Anolis sagrei: one gene and its partner. The protein of the gene in region 1 interacts with the protein of each later gene in a pairwise test. Links are inferred from orthologs where the notes say so. Each region holds a gene or a part of one and is shown in the gene's direction. Other genes may lie near its edges.

The links.
Region 2: the proteins of KLHL40 (region 1) and SPMIP4 interact in a two-hybrid assay, tested with the Homo sapiens proteins (2 studies listed by BioGRID and IntAct). The two-hybrid records come from large-scale screens. The link is inferred for Anolis sagrei from reciprocal best matches to the Homo sapiens genes KLHL40 and SPMIP4.

Annotation. Positions count from the first base shown.
Region 1 is NC_090026.1:127,205,007-127,212,995, reverse strand, and holds the start of KLHL40 (kelch-like protein 40), read left to right. Parts: upstream 1-4,905; 5' UTR 4,906-4,918; coding exon 4,919-6,286; intron 6,287-7,875; coding exon 7,876-7,989. UniProt on the Homo sapiens protein: Substrate-specific adapter of a BCR (BTB-CUL3-RBX1) E3 ubiquitin ligase complex that acts as a key regulator of skeletal muscle development.
Region 2 is NC_090026.1:92,245,750-92,253,167, forward strand, and holds the start of SPMIP4 (sperm-associated microtubule inner protein 4), read left to right. Parts: upstream 1-4,363; coding exon 4,364-4,497; intron 4,498-5,791; coding exon 5,792-5,962; intron 5,963-7,418. Other genes in the region: NPVF (pro-FMRFamide-related neuropeptide VF), read left to right, coding at 81-141. UniProt on the Homo sapiens protein: Microtubule inner protein (MIP) part of the dynein-decorated doublet microtubules (DMTs) in flagellum axoneme. May serve to reinforce and thus stabilize the microtubule structure in the sperm flagella.

The DNA of each region.
Region 1 (7,989 bases):
TTTCAAAAGTGGTGCATTACAACCCCTTGTTGCCAAATGTAGTGGATTACAAACCATCCTGGGAGTTTTTGTTCTTTAGCCTTCTCTGCCCAAAGGTGCGGGTGCCTCACTAAACTACAGCTCCCAGGATTCCATAGCACTGAACCATGGCAGTCAATGTTGGGTCAAAATGCATTAAGTCGACAGTGTAGATGCACCCATCATCTGAGCCAGGTTGACTTCCTTTAGGTTTAATTTGTCAATAGCAATATTCCAAATCAGTCTTCCTCAATGTGGCATTTCAATGTGTTGGACTACAATACCCATCATCCACAATGACTGCCTGTGGATGGTAAGTGCTGTAGTCTGAAGCATCCAGATGAGGTTGGAGAAGGTAATTAATTATTGGGCAACTACAGAGAGTGCCCAATTGCCAGATTGCCAATATCCGCTGGATAATGGAGAAAGGCAGGGAGTTTCAGAAAAACATCTACTTCTGCTTCATTGACTATTCTAAAGCCTTTGACTGTGTGGATCATAATAAATTGTGGCAAGTTCTTGGTGGGATGGGCACCTCAAGCCCCCTTCCCTCTCTCCTGAGGAATCTGTACAAGGACCAAGGAGCCACAGTCAGAACTGACCACGGAGGAACAGACTGGTTCAAGATTGGGAAAGGTGTCCGGCAAGGCTGCATCCTCTCACCCAACCTTTTTAACTTGTATGCAGAACACATCATGCGAGGATGTGCGGGGCTGGATGAATGCAAAGCTGGGGTGAAAATTGCTGGAAGAAACATTAACAACCTCAGATATGCAGATGACACCACCCTGATGGCCGAAAGCGAGGAGGAGCTGAGGAGCCTTCTAATCAAGGTGAAAGAAGAAAGCGCAAAAGCCGGGTTGCAGCTAAACGTCAAAAAAACCAAGATTATGGCAACAAGAATGATTGACAACTGGGAAATAGAAGGAGAAACCGTGGAGGCCGTGACAGACTTTGTATTTCTAGGGGCAAAGATTACTGCAGATGCAGACTGTGGCCAGGAAATCAGAAGACGCTTCCTTCTTGGGAGGAGAGCAATGTCCAGTCTCGATAAAATAGTGAAGAGTAGAGACATCAGACTGACAACAAAGATCCATTGCCTAGTCAAAGCCATGGTATTCCCTGTAGTCACCTACGGATGTGAGAGCTGGACCTTAGGGAAGGCTGAGCGAAGGAAGAGAGATGCTTTTGAACTGTGATGTTGGAGGAAAGTGCTGAGAGTGCCTTGGACTGCGAGAAGATCCAACCAGTCCATCCTCCAGGAAATAAAGCCCAGCTGCTCATTGGAGGGAAGGAGACTAGAGACAAAGTTGAAGTACTTTGGCCACATCATGAGGAGACAGCAAAGCCTAGAGAAGACAATTATGCTGGGGAAAGTGGAAGGCAAAAGGAAGAGGGGCCAACCAAGGGCAAGATGGATGGATGGCATCCTTGAAGTGACTGGACTGACCTTGAAGGAGCTGGGGGTGGTGACGGCCGACAGGGAGCTCTGGCGTGGGCTGGTCCATGAGGTCACAAAGAGTCGGAGACGACTGAACGAATGAACAACAACAACAACAACAAACAGAGAGTGCACCTACACAGTAGAATTAATGCAGTTTGACCCCACTTGAACTAACATGGCTAAGTGCCTTATCACAGAAGGCAAAAGACCTAGTAAAACTACAACTCCCACTATTCCATAGCATTGGGATATGGCAGTTAAAGTGTTGAACTATTGAAGAGTTCATCATTCACTGGTTTAATTAATATAGGCTTTCTAAGAAACTCTAGGTCATCCTACAACTTCAGTTGGATGTTTACTAAAGAGTTGTGCTGGAGTACCGAGAGATTGCTAGTATTTATTTGTCGTGTCAGGGCAACCAGTGAATTGTATTACATTTCTAACAGAACAAAACAAACAAACAGACAGACAAAACACAAAATTTGCAAGTTTGGTAGTTGATTAGATGTCCATTGACCAGTATCTCGCCACTTGGAGTGCTTCTGGTGTTGCCACAAGAAGGTCCTCCATTGTGCATGTGGCAGGGCTCAGATTGCATTGCAGCAGGTGGTCAGTGGTTTGCTCTTCTCCACACTCGCATGATGTGGATTCCACTTTGTGGCCCCATTTCTTGAGGTTGGCTCTGCATCTCATGGTGCCAGAGCGCAGTCTGTTCTGCCCCTTCCAAGTCGCCCAGTCTTCTGTGTGCCCAGGAGGGAGTCTCTCATCTGGTATCAGCCATTGGTTCAGGTTCTGGGTTTGAACCTGCCACTTTTGGACTCTCGCTTGCTGAAGCGTTCCAGCGAGTGTCTCTGTAGATCTTAGAAAACTATTTCTAGATTTAAGTCGTTGACGTGCTGGCGGATACCTAAACAGGGGATGAGCTGGAGATGTCTCTGCCTTGGTCCTTTCACTATTGGCTGCTACTTCCCGGTGGATGTCAGGTGGTGCAATACCGGCTAAGCAGTGTAGTTTCTCCAGTGGTGTAGGGCGCAGAAACCCCGTGATAATGCGGCATGTCTCATTAAGAGCCACATACACTGTTTTAGCGTGGTGAGATGTGTTCCACACTGGGCATGCATACTCAGCAGCAGAGGAGCATAGCGCAAGGGCAGATGTCTTTACTGTGTCTGGTTGTGATCCACAAGTTGTGCCAGTCAGCTTTCGTATGATATTGTTTCTAGCACCCACTTTTTGCTTGATGTTCAGGCAGTGCTAGTGAGAATCATAGAATCCTAGGGTTGGAAGAGACCTCGTGAGCCATCCAGTCCAACCCCCTACCAAGAAGCAGGACAATCACTTTCAAAGCATCCCCAACAGATGGCCATCCAGCCCCTGTTTAAAAGCCTCCATAGAAGGAGCCTCCACCACACTTCGGCACAGAGAGTTCCACTGCTGAACAGCTCTCACAGTCAGGAAGTTCTTCCTCGTGTTCAGGTGGAATCTCCTTTCCTGTAGTTTGAAGCCATTGCTCCATTGCATCCAGGGCAGCAGAAAACAAGCTTGCACCCTCCTTATTATGACTTCCCCTCACATATTGATACATGGCTATCATGTCTCCTCTCAGCCTTCTCTTCTGCGGGCTAAACATGCCCAGCTCTTTAAGAACTCCTCTCTATGAATCTCTAGGTCCAAAGTGAAGGTTTGACTGTAAAAAGTTTATTTTACATGGCATCTTTACTCTGCTGTACCTGAGGTGGCATCGGATATAACCTCTCCTCTGAAACATCCAGATACTTGGAACAGCCATGTGCACAGAACCATATATATATATGTAGCGTACCTGGATTTCAGGAAGGCCTTCGACAAGGTCCCCCATGACCTTCTGGCAAACAAACTAGTCCAATGTGGGCTAGGCAAAACTATGGTGAGGTGGATCTGGAATTGGTTAAATGGACGAACCCAGAGGGTGATTCTCTCCAATGCTTCCTCTTCATCCTGGAAAGAAGTGACGAGCGGAATGCCGCAGGGTTCCGTCCTGGTCCTGGTCCTGTTCAACATCTTTACTCCTGAGGACAGGAGCAGGATTCAAAACGATCTTGACAGATTAGAGAGATGGGCCAAAACTAACAAATGAAGTTCAGCAGTGACAAATGCAAGATACTCCACTTTGGCAGGAAAAACGAAAAGCAAAGAGACAGAATGGGGGACGATGCCTGGCTTGAGAGCAGTACGTGTGAAAAAGACCTTGGAGTCCTCGTGGACAACAAGTTAAACATGAGCCAGGAATGTGATGTGGCGGCAAAAAAAGCCAATGGGATTTTGGCCTGCATCAATAGGAGCATAGTATCTAGATCCAGGGAAGTCATGCTACCCCTCTATTCCACTTTGGTTAGACCACACCTGGAATATTGTGTCCAATTCTGGGTACCACAATTCAAGAGAGATATTGACAAGCTGGAATGTGTCCAGAGGAGGGCGACTCAAATGATCACGGGTCTGGAGAACAAGCCCTATGAGGAGAGGCTTAAGGAGCTGGGCATGTTTACCCTGAAGAAGAGAAGGCTGAGAGGAGATATGATAGCCATGTATAAATATGTGAGAGGAAGCCGCAGGGAGGAGGGAGCAAGCTTGTTCTCTGCTTCCCTGGAGACTAGGACACGAAACAATGGTTTAAACTACAAGAAAGGAGATTCCATCTGAACATGAGGAAGAACTTCCTGACTGTGAGAGCCGTTCAGCAGTGGAACTCTCTGCGCCAGAGTGTGGTGGGGGTTCCTTCTTTGGAAGCTTTTAAACAGAGGCTGGATGGCCATCTGTCAGGGCTGATTTGAATGCAATATTCCTGCTTCTTGGCAGGGGGTTGGACTGGATGGCCCATGAGGTCTCTTTCAACTCTTTGATTCTATGATTATATATATATATATATATATATATATATATATATATATATAGCAATGAATCAAATTTATGATCAATAGCCTCCGCGACTTGGAAGAGAGAGAGATGTCCTCATGCCACAACAAATAATCAGAGGCATTTCTTCCCTGTTTATTCAACTCTGACTTTGCAGTATATTTTTAGCACATTAAGCCTTGCGCTGGATTTAGAAGGCGAGAGCAGGGATGTGGCATCTGTGGGTACGCTCCAATGTGTGTGCATGTGCTGAAGAGAGGGATAGAAGGATATGAACCCAAACACAGATCCCATAACTGATTTTAGAGCCTTCATTGCTGTGATTTACTCCAAGGCGTAACTTGTTCCTAGAGGGGCTGCTCACAAGTCTTGGGCTGGGGGCGAAAGACCTTCAGGAAAAAGAAATATACCTCTCCTGAGTGAATCATCGTGACAGCGTCTGTCATAGATCTAGAATTACACTTACAGCTGTTGCTCCTTGTGTCGTCCCCCTCCCCTTCCGCAAGAGCCATCCCTCCCTGGTGGGCCAGTTTGTCATATTAAAAGGTGATCGGCTTACACATGCTCCCGAATGGATTCCCTAAGCTTTGTAACGCCGTGGCTATATATATAAAAACCCCTCGCGCTGTGGAAACTGAGCCACACAGCCAGCTGGACAAGCAGCCAGGCTCATATTCTTGGTCAGCGCTCCATCAGGAATCAAGAAAGAGCTCTCCCAGGTTCACAAGAGCTGGAAGACCGGGTCAACGAAGAAGACCAGACAAGTTTTCAACCATGGCCGTCTCCTTAGAACAAGCGGAAGAGTTACGTCTCTACCAGCAAACGCTTCTTCAAGATGGTCTCAAGGACTTGCTGGACCACAACAAGTTCTTGGATTGTGTCCTGAAGGTGAAAGGGAAGGAGTTTCCATGTCACCGCTTGGTCCTGGCAGCTTGCAGTCCTTACTTCAGGGCCATGTTCCTCTCGGATATGGAAGAGAGCAAGAAAAGGGAGATCAGCTTAGAAGATGTGGATCCAGACGTCATGGGCAAGATCCTCCATTACATCTACACCTCAGAACTGGAGCTCACCGAGCAGAACGTTCAGGATATCTTCTCCGTGGCCAACATGTTCCAGATCCCTTCCATTTTCACCGTCTGTGTCTCTTTCCTTCAGAAGCGGCTTTGCCTCAGCAACTGCTTGGCCATTTTCAGGCTGGGTTTGATGTTGGACTGTGCCCGCTTGGCAGTCGCTGCCCGGGATTTCATCTGTGACCGCTTTGCCTTGATCTCCCGGGATGAGGAATTCTTCCAGCTCTCCCCCGATGAACTCATTGCCATCATCTCCAGTGATTCCCTGAATATCGAGAAGGAAGAGTCCGTCTTTGAGGTGGTGATGAAATGGGCCACAACCAAAGACCGGGAGAGCCGAGCAAAGGCCCTGCCAGTGGTCTTTGACAGCATCCGTTTTCGCCTCATTGAGAAGGATTACTTCAAGGATCATGTGGAGAAGCACCCTCTGGTCAAGTCCAGCCCAGAACTTCTCAAGAAGTTGCAGATGGTGAAGGACGCCCATGAAGGGAAATTTGCAGTGGTGAAAAGAGTGAAGAAAAAAGGGGAGAAGAAGGCTGGGGACAATGTCATCAATGGAGGAGTAGAGGAAGACGGTGTTGAGAAGGAGGAGGAGGAAGCAGAGGAAGGTCTCCCAGGGATCTTGAATGACACCATGAGGTTTGGGATGTTTCTTCAAGATCTCATTTTCATGGTCAGTGACTCGGGGGCGGTGGCCTATGACCCGTCAGCCAATGAGTGCTTTTACGCCTCACTTTCTGCCCAGATCCCAAAGAACCACGTCAGCCTGGTCACCCGCGAGAACCAGGTCTTCATAGCAGGGGGACTTTACTACAATGAGGACAATAAAGAAGATCCAATGAACTCCTATTTCTTGCAGGTAATGGATAACTCCTCCCAATGCACATATTTCTGCTTTTGAACCAAGAGCTGTATTCGTCTCTTGTTGGAATGGGGAGTCAACCCCAAGTGATTTTAATCTTTATGGCATAGCTTTAGTTTGACTCCCTCTTTCACGTATCATATTGGGAGGGCGGAGATTACTCTGACAAATATCTATATACTGCAAAATTTCCAACATTTCACAAATGAAAACCAAAATGCATACAACTTAGGGCCTTTCCACACAACCCTATATCCCAGAATATCAAGGTAGGAAATCCCACATTATCTGAGTGTGGACTCAGACAACCCAGTTCAAAGCAGATATTGTGGGATTTTCTGCCTTGATATTCTGGGATATAGGGCTGTGTGGAAGGGAACCAAGAAATATAAGAATGCAGTCAAGTTGGGAAAACTTTATAATGAAGAAGAATGCATCAATAGTTTGCTTTTGCCAAAGCCTACTGGGAAGGGCAAGATGGTGCCTTCTTCTCCTTCTCATCTGAAAACTACATCCATACTTTGAATTCAGGTCCCTCCCACACAGCCATATGTATAATCCACAATATCTGCATTGAACTGAGTTATCTGAGTCCACACTAGCATATAATCCAGTTCAATGTGGATTTGATACATCTGTTTGGAAGGGGCCTCAGTTTGCTGGAGTGGATAAAAGCAAGGAGAAATTGGGAGGAGGAAAGATCCACTGGGACATTTTGGAAAAACAGATGAGAAAATGGGATGACAGGATCAATCAGGGCTGTGCCTCCCAAACTGGGACCAGTTTGATACTGTGATTTACGTGTGAAAAGGGGGACAAATCCCTTCCCAGATTGGAGAAAAGGATTGTCCCGCTCAGCATCCTGATTACAATGAGTGACAGGTGACAATAGAAACTGATGTGATCCCAGCATTTGGTGTTTAGAGAGATACTCTGGTTTCAAGAGACATAAAAATCAAATGGGTCCGACCAGTCATAAATGCTAGTGGGCTGTGGCTTAATCTGACCAAGTAGTCATTTGAAAAGTGATTGATGATTTCCACTCTTTTGCTGGAGGTATTGAAGCAGAGTCTGGGTAGCCATGCACTTGACATGCTATGGATGTGCTCTACATTGAGAATTAGATTACTTTCAAAGCACCCTTGGGGTTATGGGGTTCCATATTTCCAGGAACCCCATAACATTTAAAACCAGGATTATCCGATCTGTATTTTGGCGAGCATGGGATAGACTATCCCAGCGGGTAATGGACTCCCCTTGATTAGTGGTTTTTAAGTAGAACTCTGATGACCAACTCTTGGAGTTGCTTCATCTGATCTCCTTGCATTATATATCTCAGCAAAACATTTACTAGTTATGTGAGTCTTTAAATAACACTATGGCCCCTTCCACACAACTGTATAAAATCCCACATTATCTGCTTTGAATTGGATTATATGGCAATGCGGACACAGATAATCCAGATCAAAGCAGATATTGTGGATATTCTTGATATTCTGGGTTATATGGCTGTGTCAAAGGGTCCTAAGTGATATCTCAAGATGGTTCACCTGTTATCTCCATGGTTGCCTTCTACTTCTTTGCAGTATGACCACCTGGATTCAGACTGGCTTGGGATGCCGCCTCTTCCATCTCCGCGTTGTCTCTTCGGCCTCGGCGAAGCAGAAAACTCAATATTTGTGGTGGGAGGAAAGGAGCTG
Region 2 (7,418 bases), about 35 Mb from region 1:
AGCTAATCAATTCTTCGTTTCCTTCCTTCCTTCCTTTCCCTCTCATTCACTCCCCTTCAACCAATCCCTATCTTCTTCAGGTTCAGCAGTTCAAGCAACTCTATGAGAAGTGAATCCAATGCTGAAGAGGCAAATCACTGAAAGAGCTTGGATTAATTTCCTTTGTATAGTGTTATTGTCGAATTGCAAGAGAAAAAAAAAAGAGACCAAGGTTAAAACACCCCTGCCTTCAAAAGAGGATTTCCATTATAAAGCATTTGTTCTAAAACAAACACTTTAGGGTCACCTAATATTCTTATTATATTAATTTATTCCCATACTATATTCTGATCTCAGCTGAACTCTGTATAGTTTATGTCTCATCAATTGTAACCACCACCACCCAAAAAAACATGGGGGTGGGAGTATTGTCGGGTAAGTGGAAACAATGTATGCAAAATAAAAAAAATGTGATTATATGAAGTCTATTGTGGTTTAAGAAGTCATAAGAGTATTTGCAAAGAGGAAAGGCAATCCTCATGCACTTCAGGCTAAAGAAAAAGTCACCAAAACATAAGAAAAAAAAAATATCAAGATCAGAACGGTTCAATAACTTTTGTAACACACTTTTCCACTGGAAGTATATGAATATGAATATTTAAATATGGTTTAATATCTTGAGTGTACTAAAGTAATCATTCAACTCCTCAAGCTATGTTTAATCTTTTGACATTAGACACAACAATTCATTTAAGCAATACTATGCAAATATAAATAAGACCAGGGTAAGTTATCACTCGGTATGAAGATATAGGATAATAATGTCTCCATTTTTTTCTAATAATTGTTAACATTTCATCTTCCAGAAATTATATGAGACTACTTTGCACACTGCACATACCTTATTAGTAAGAATGAACAACAATTATGTTCTCTTTTAATTACCTTTTATCCTGCTTCATAAAATAATGTAGAGGAAAATAATTTGAACCTAATATTTTAAGACCTATACTGTTATTATGGTGGTGATTATTATCTAGTAGTGAGTATTAGCCTAAGTGGCTTTTTAAAAACTGTATTTCTTGCACACTTGCAGTTTGTAGTAGCTCATACTGCCCTCACCCCATTAAGATTCTCAAAAGAGCTTCATAAAATTATACCTTTAATAAACACAAAAATATTGTGCAGGCTTTTGAGTTCTGCAAGACTCTTCATCAGTTAAGATTAATCAGTGAACAAATGAAACAAGAGATAAAGTTTATGCTAAGCCTTGAATCTTGCACTCCTTCACATCGATGTCCCATCCAAGGTAGAAGACAATACAGAAAGAGAAAGACCATATTGTAATGGGTGGACTCAATCAAGGAAGCCGCAGCCCAGAATCTCCAAGACCTGAGCAGGGCTACTAAGGACAGGGAAGCTTGGAGATCTCTCATTCATATAGTCATCATAAGTCAAACTCAATCTGACCGTAGTCAACAAAAACAAATATTTGACTTTAATATCCAGTTTTGCTTTATGGGCCATCTTACCTAATTAAATATTTTCCGATCATTTGCATTATGTCAGTTATTATTATGTGCCTTCAAGTTATTTCCAACAAAGGATGCTCCTAAAGTGAACTTATAATAGGTTTTCTTGCCAATATTTGCGGGTTTGACATAGGGGTTTGACATTGCCTTCCTCAGAGGTGACTTGCCCAATGGCATTATTGGATTTCCATGGTCAAATGAATATCCAAGACCCTTCTCTCTGGGAATCTTAGTACAACGTTCAAACCATTTGACATTCCTCTTTGAGCCAATACAGCTATCTTGTTTTTTATGTCACTAAACATGTTTTTTTATATAAATAACTGATGTATTTCTGTATATGGAATAAGGAGAAAACATAAACGTGAGAGGTGAGACCAACAGAGAAATCCACAGAATTCCTTAACATTACACAAACACAAAGAAGGGACTCAGGGTGGCTAAGTCCTCATGTCAACAGTGGTTGAGGTGGCAAGTTCAAGACCTCCAGATATTTCTGGACTATAGTCCCCATCAAATCTATGGTGATAGATTATACGATTTGGAATTCTCCTGTCTGAAAGATCAAAAATTATATGCTGATGAATTAGAGGAACCACCAATATGAAGAAAACCAACTAATGAATGTTTGGCCTCACCTCCTGGTTCATGAGGTCACAAAGAGTCAGAAGTGACTGAACAAATAAACAAACAAGCCATAGAAGCTATACCTTCCCATGCAGTATGGCTAATATTATTCTTCCTAACCTCAGGTTGATAAAAACTTGTATTAAAGATACAAAATGAAGAGATTGTATGCAAAATTCTCTCTGGTTTTCCAGTACAGAAGGCAGGAAAATAATCATGACCTAGCATGCAAAACCATCAGCAGATATTGGACAGGTACAGAAAGCATGGGTATCTAACTACCTGTAGATTATTTATTATCCATGCACAAATATTATTCATGAATTGCAAAGAGGCAGGAAAAGGAGTTGAATAAATCATTTGCAGGCATAAAAATCATGAAGATTCAGAAGCTCTTAATTTTCTTTGCAACTCAGACAAAATGTGTATTTGTGAGTAACCTCTTCATTGAACCACAACAAAGCTCCTTTAAAACGAATCCAAAGACATCAGTGATTAATCATTAGATGAACCCAAATATCCACAGCATAGAATTGTGGTTATACATTAGGTCTCTCCATCTGCTGGAGTTTGATTCCAGGACCTAACCATAAGGCTATCATTTTTGTACCATTCTGCTGACACCTGCTATTGCTTCTGCTGACAGAACTACACAGCATTCAGCAGCAGCCAGCTTGGCACATGCACACTGGGAATGTAGCTCACATGGCAATCTTTAACGGCCGCATGAGCTAGGCCACTAACTCTCCATTATGAGGAAATAAACAACCCAGCATCAGCATTACAAAATCCATATTCCATCTAGTTCCAACCTGAAACATCCAAGATCAGGAATTCTGGGTTGAAATGGTGGACTGAAGCCAGTTCCTGTGAGCAATTCACTGCAGATGGAATGCTTTACATGGTAAATCATGGCCAGATTAAGTTTGGTCCTGCAAAAACCCTTCTGCAAAAGCCATATTCCCACCAGTTGCAATTTGAAATATATAAAGAGATGCAACCTCTGAGGATGCCTGCCATAGATGCAGGTGAAACGTCAGGAGAGAATGCTTTTAGAACAGTGGTTCTCAGCCTGTGGGTCCCCAGGTTTTTGGCCTACAACTCCCAGAAATCCCAGCCAGTTTACCAGCTGTTAGGATTTCTGGGAGTTGAAGGCCAAAACATCTGGGGACCTATAGGTTGAGAACCACTGTTCTAGAACATGGTCATACAGCCTGAAAAACCTACAACAACCCAGTGATTCCGGCCATGAAAGCCTTCAACAATACAGATGTAATACTATTTACATAGCAATAAGCCATACTCCTTCTAGTTACAAATCACTGTGTCTTGAATGTCTTGTTTCTTGAATTTCGTGGGAATTCCTTCAGGGTGGACAGATATAGGCATGCTGCAAATCTCCTTATGAAATCTATTGTTAAGCATCCCTAATCAAACATGAACATGAAAATAAGTAAGGACACATCAGCTAGGAACTAATTCCACTGTCATCTCAAATGCACTAACACTTTCCATCATCTGCCAGCCACAAATGCAGGCAAACCGTCAGGAGGAGAAAATGCTGCTAGAACATGACCATACAGTCCAAAAACCACACAACACCCATTTCCCATTCTGTTCCTATCCGGAAAACAAAACAAAATGATCCAGTTTACTCAATAGAAAAATCCAGCTGTTGGTAACAGACATATCCTTTTATTTCAGTGGTTCCCAGAGAAAGGATAACAGCTTTGTTAAAATGTCCAAAGAGAATTAGAGGTCAATTTAGATTTGCCTTCTTGAATACAGAACCAATTAGTCCCTCACCACTACCCATTGTACAGTAATATGTTTCACTTTTTTGCATCCATTGATTAAAAACCATGATGCCCAATTAAAGCAGTTTAAGGAATGAAAGCAACAGCCATAAGACTTTCCTCTATTTCATGATCAGTCCCTGGCTACATCATTGTGATGTCACATATCACCTGAGTGGCAGGGTTGAAAACTGGTACAGGGCACTACATGACACCTACATGGGAAGGTAAGCTCTCTTTTCATCCTTAGCTGCTCACTAGCAGCTTTGAAAAGTGATCTTTTTCCTGTAATGAAGTAGGCTCTGTCTTAAAGTGAGTTATTGTTACATTTTCAGGCAGAACTTTAATGCCCAACTGAAGCAAAAACAGGAACTGGCCTCTTTAACCACTGAACAGTCAGCATATGAATCCTTCCTATAGCCGTTAAAGATGGAACTGCGCCCACGCATGTCCTATCACAGAAATGAGCAAGAAGAATCAGCAGTAGTAACAAAAGCTTTGGAATCTACTAATCATCTGACTCCATTCCATATCCCTCCTGGTCCCCTTATATCACAAGAAACGTAAGTAGTTACTTCTAATTCATCATTTTTTTGTAAAAATATATTCATTATGGTTGCAACTATTTGTTTCGCAATCCGTTATATTCAATCGTCCATCGTTTGAAAATATTTATTAAAAGTGTCCATGGAGAATACTGGAACCCACTATATTATCATTTCAGTAAGAATGTATTGTCAAAGGCCAGAATCACTGGGTTGTTATAAGTTTTTCGGACTGTATGGCCATGTTCCAGAAGCATTCTCTCCTGACATTTCCATAAGACTCCTCATGAAACTCTTGCAGGTAATGATTAACAATAAAGGCCAGATAGTGCTATTGTTAGGTGGATTTTTAGCAGCATTGTGGGCTAAAGAGTGGTTCCTCCCCTTCTCAGAGAGAAATTGGATTGGTCTGTAAGGTTCTGTTTTGGGGCTGATGCATACTTACACCAATGCTGGGGAGATATATGAATGGATGTGTGCTCTGACTTCTGATTTAATCTTTTCAGTCCACAAATATTGCTTTCTTCTGCTCCTTGGCTTCATATTATTTTATTAAATTATGAAAAAAAATGTCATGGCATTGTGGAGGATCATATTTCTGTACTTGTCCCGTCACCATTGTTTGCAAAGTATATTTTTTGCTCTAGGACAAAGAAGTTACACCTCAATCCTATTAACCTGGGGACAGAAGTCATGCATGATTTATTAGCATTTGCTTCAGTTTCAGCCTACTCACTGCCATCATTCAATAATGATGCATCTTTTGAATGCCAAGAACACAGGAACAGCCTTGCCAGATCAAGCCAAGGTCCATCTGAGCCAGCATTCTGATACCAAAAACATTCAAATAGCTTTTAGTGTTATGCAATGCTAAAAGGAACTTGGCACATGTATAAAAGATCATTATCTTTAGGGCAGAGGAATAATATTGGTAAGTTTCCTAATTTTAGATTGAAGTATAGGTTGTACTGGTTTGCTATGAAGTTAATGATATTAGAAGTGATAAGAACTAGTGACATGCAAGTCTTTAGTAACAAAACAAGCTCAACTGGATTGGACAAGGAGACAATGATACTTTTCATATTGGGAATTAATTTCATCAGGTTCATCTTGGGGATGACCAAGGAATCAGGTATGAAACCAGAAGAGGATATTGCCAGTAGTTTTTTAAAACAAGCTTTTTTGCTTTCTCTTTGTTTCTCTCTTTACCCCTTCTTCTGGGGCCAGTTACTTTTGTCAAAAGATTTTTTGAAATCAGGTTGCCGACAGCTGATCTCAGATGTCATGTGCAGAATGTTTGATTTGATTTCAGGTATGAACAATTAAAGGAAACATTTCAGCTTTGCAATGCTGCAATGAAAGGAGGTCAGAGATTGGCAAGGTGTAACGTCGCATTCCCAGAATCTCACAGGAAATATGAGCCACCTTACAAGTTCAGTCATGAGCACCACTACAATAGCAATGCCCAAGATGGCTTGCTAAGGTGAGTTTCCCCTATTCATCACACCTTTTGGTATACCTTTTAGATAACTATATATTGTTTGAATTTAGAAGCGAGTTGAGAAATGCTGGTGTCTTGTGGCAATTTTTCAAAAACGATCAGATTACAGTCTTTGTTTTGTTACATATGTTCTTGTTGTGTGCCTTCAAATTAACTCACTTGTACGTTTTTCTTGGCAATTTGTTATTGTTTACCTCTAAGGCAAAAATAATCAACTGGGAGGTTTCTATACACAAACATATTGCTCTGTTGCCTTTAATTCTCTCCCATAAATGCACAATTTTAAATTTACCACATAGTTTTCTTAAAAATTCTTCGCTACCTGCTCATTCTGAGACCATTCCTGGGGTGGCTTTGAGGAGGGGATGGTGGCTCACTTCAAATGATTGCATAGCCCACCTCAAATGTTATTTTCTCACAACATTTTGCTTTCTCATTTACTTTCCACTTCAGCCACATGCTCAAATGATCCAAATGATAATTTTGCCCAGTTCTGGATTTCATTATGTTCCAAGGGATGCTTGTAGAACATATCAATGGACTCATACATGTTTCTGCATGATGATGATGGTGATGGTGATAGTGATTATTCATATATGTGTACCACCCTATCTCCCCAAAGGGACTCAGGACAGTTTCCAACATATAACACAAACATTCAATTGCCAAAAAGAAAACTATACAGACAAATTATATCAAGACAAGCACATTGGACAATATAAAACAATCTAATTTAACTTAATAAACATAATAACAAGAAATAAAATACAAAAATCCTGCTAAAAGACACTAAAAATAAAAAATTAAACCAATTGCATTGGGATCATGTCACCTTGACAGCTGTATCTCTTGGGTAGACTGCTGCTAATAATCCATTAATGATCTATATTTACACAAAGCTGTCTAAAGTGGAATTTTAGTAAACATCTGCAAGAATTAAAATATATCTAATAATTGCACTGGTGAATAGCAAACACAATGGCAGGGCTTCATAAATGGCAAAAGTACGTGCAAACACAACTAATGAGCTATTAGAGTACTGTTCCTTCAGCATGAGAAAATATTAACCCAGATAAGCAAAGGCACAAGTCTGAGAGAGTTTCCGGATAAGCACTCTAAAGTTCAAGTGTTGCTAACAAGAGAAAGGAAAAGAGGTCTGGGTTAAAAAGTAAAGGCAAAATAATAATTATACACTCCAGAAAAAGAGGATAAATACAGGGAGCTGCCAATTTGAAGGGAAAACACTCTCCCAAAGATGAGAAAATGTATCGTTTCTTGACCTGATTGGACCTTCCTTGGAGAAACTGCAGGTCATGGATCTGTTGGTTGGAACATGGCAAAGAAGTACAAGCCAGCAAAGGGTCCTCTAAATCAGCGTCAGGGTTTGAAAGAAGAGAATAAACTAATGAAATTATCTGGCTCAAATCCTGATTTTGTG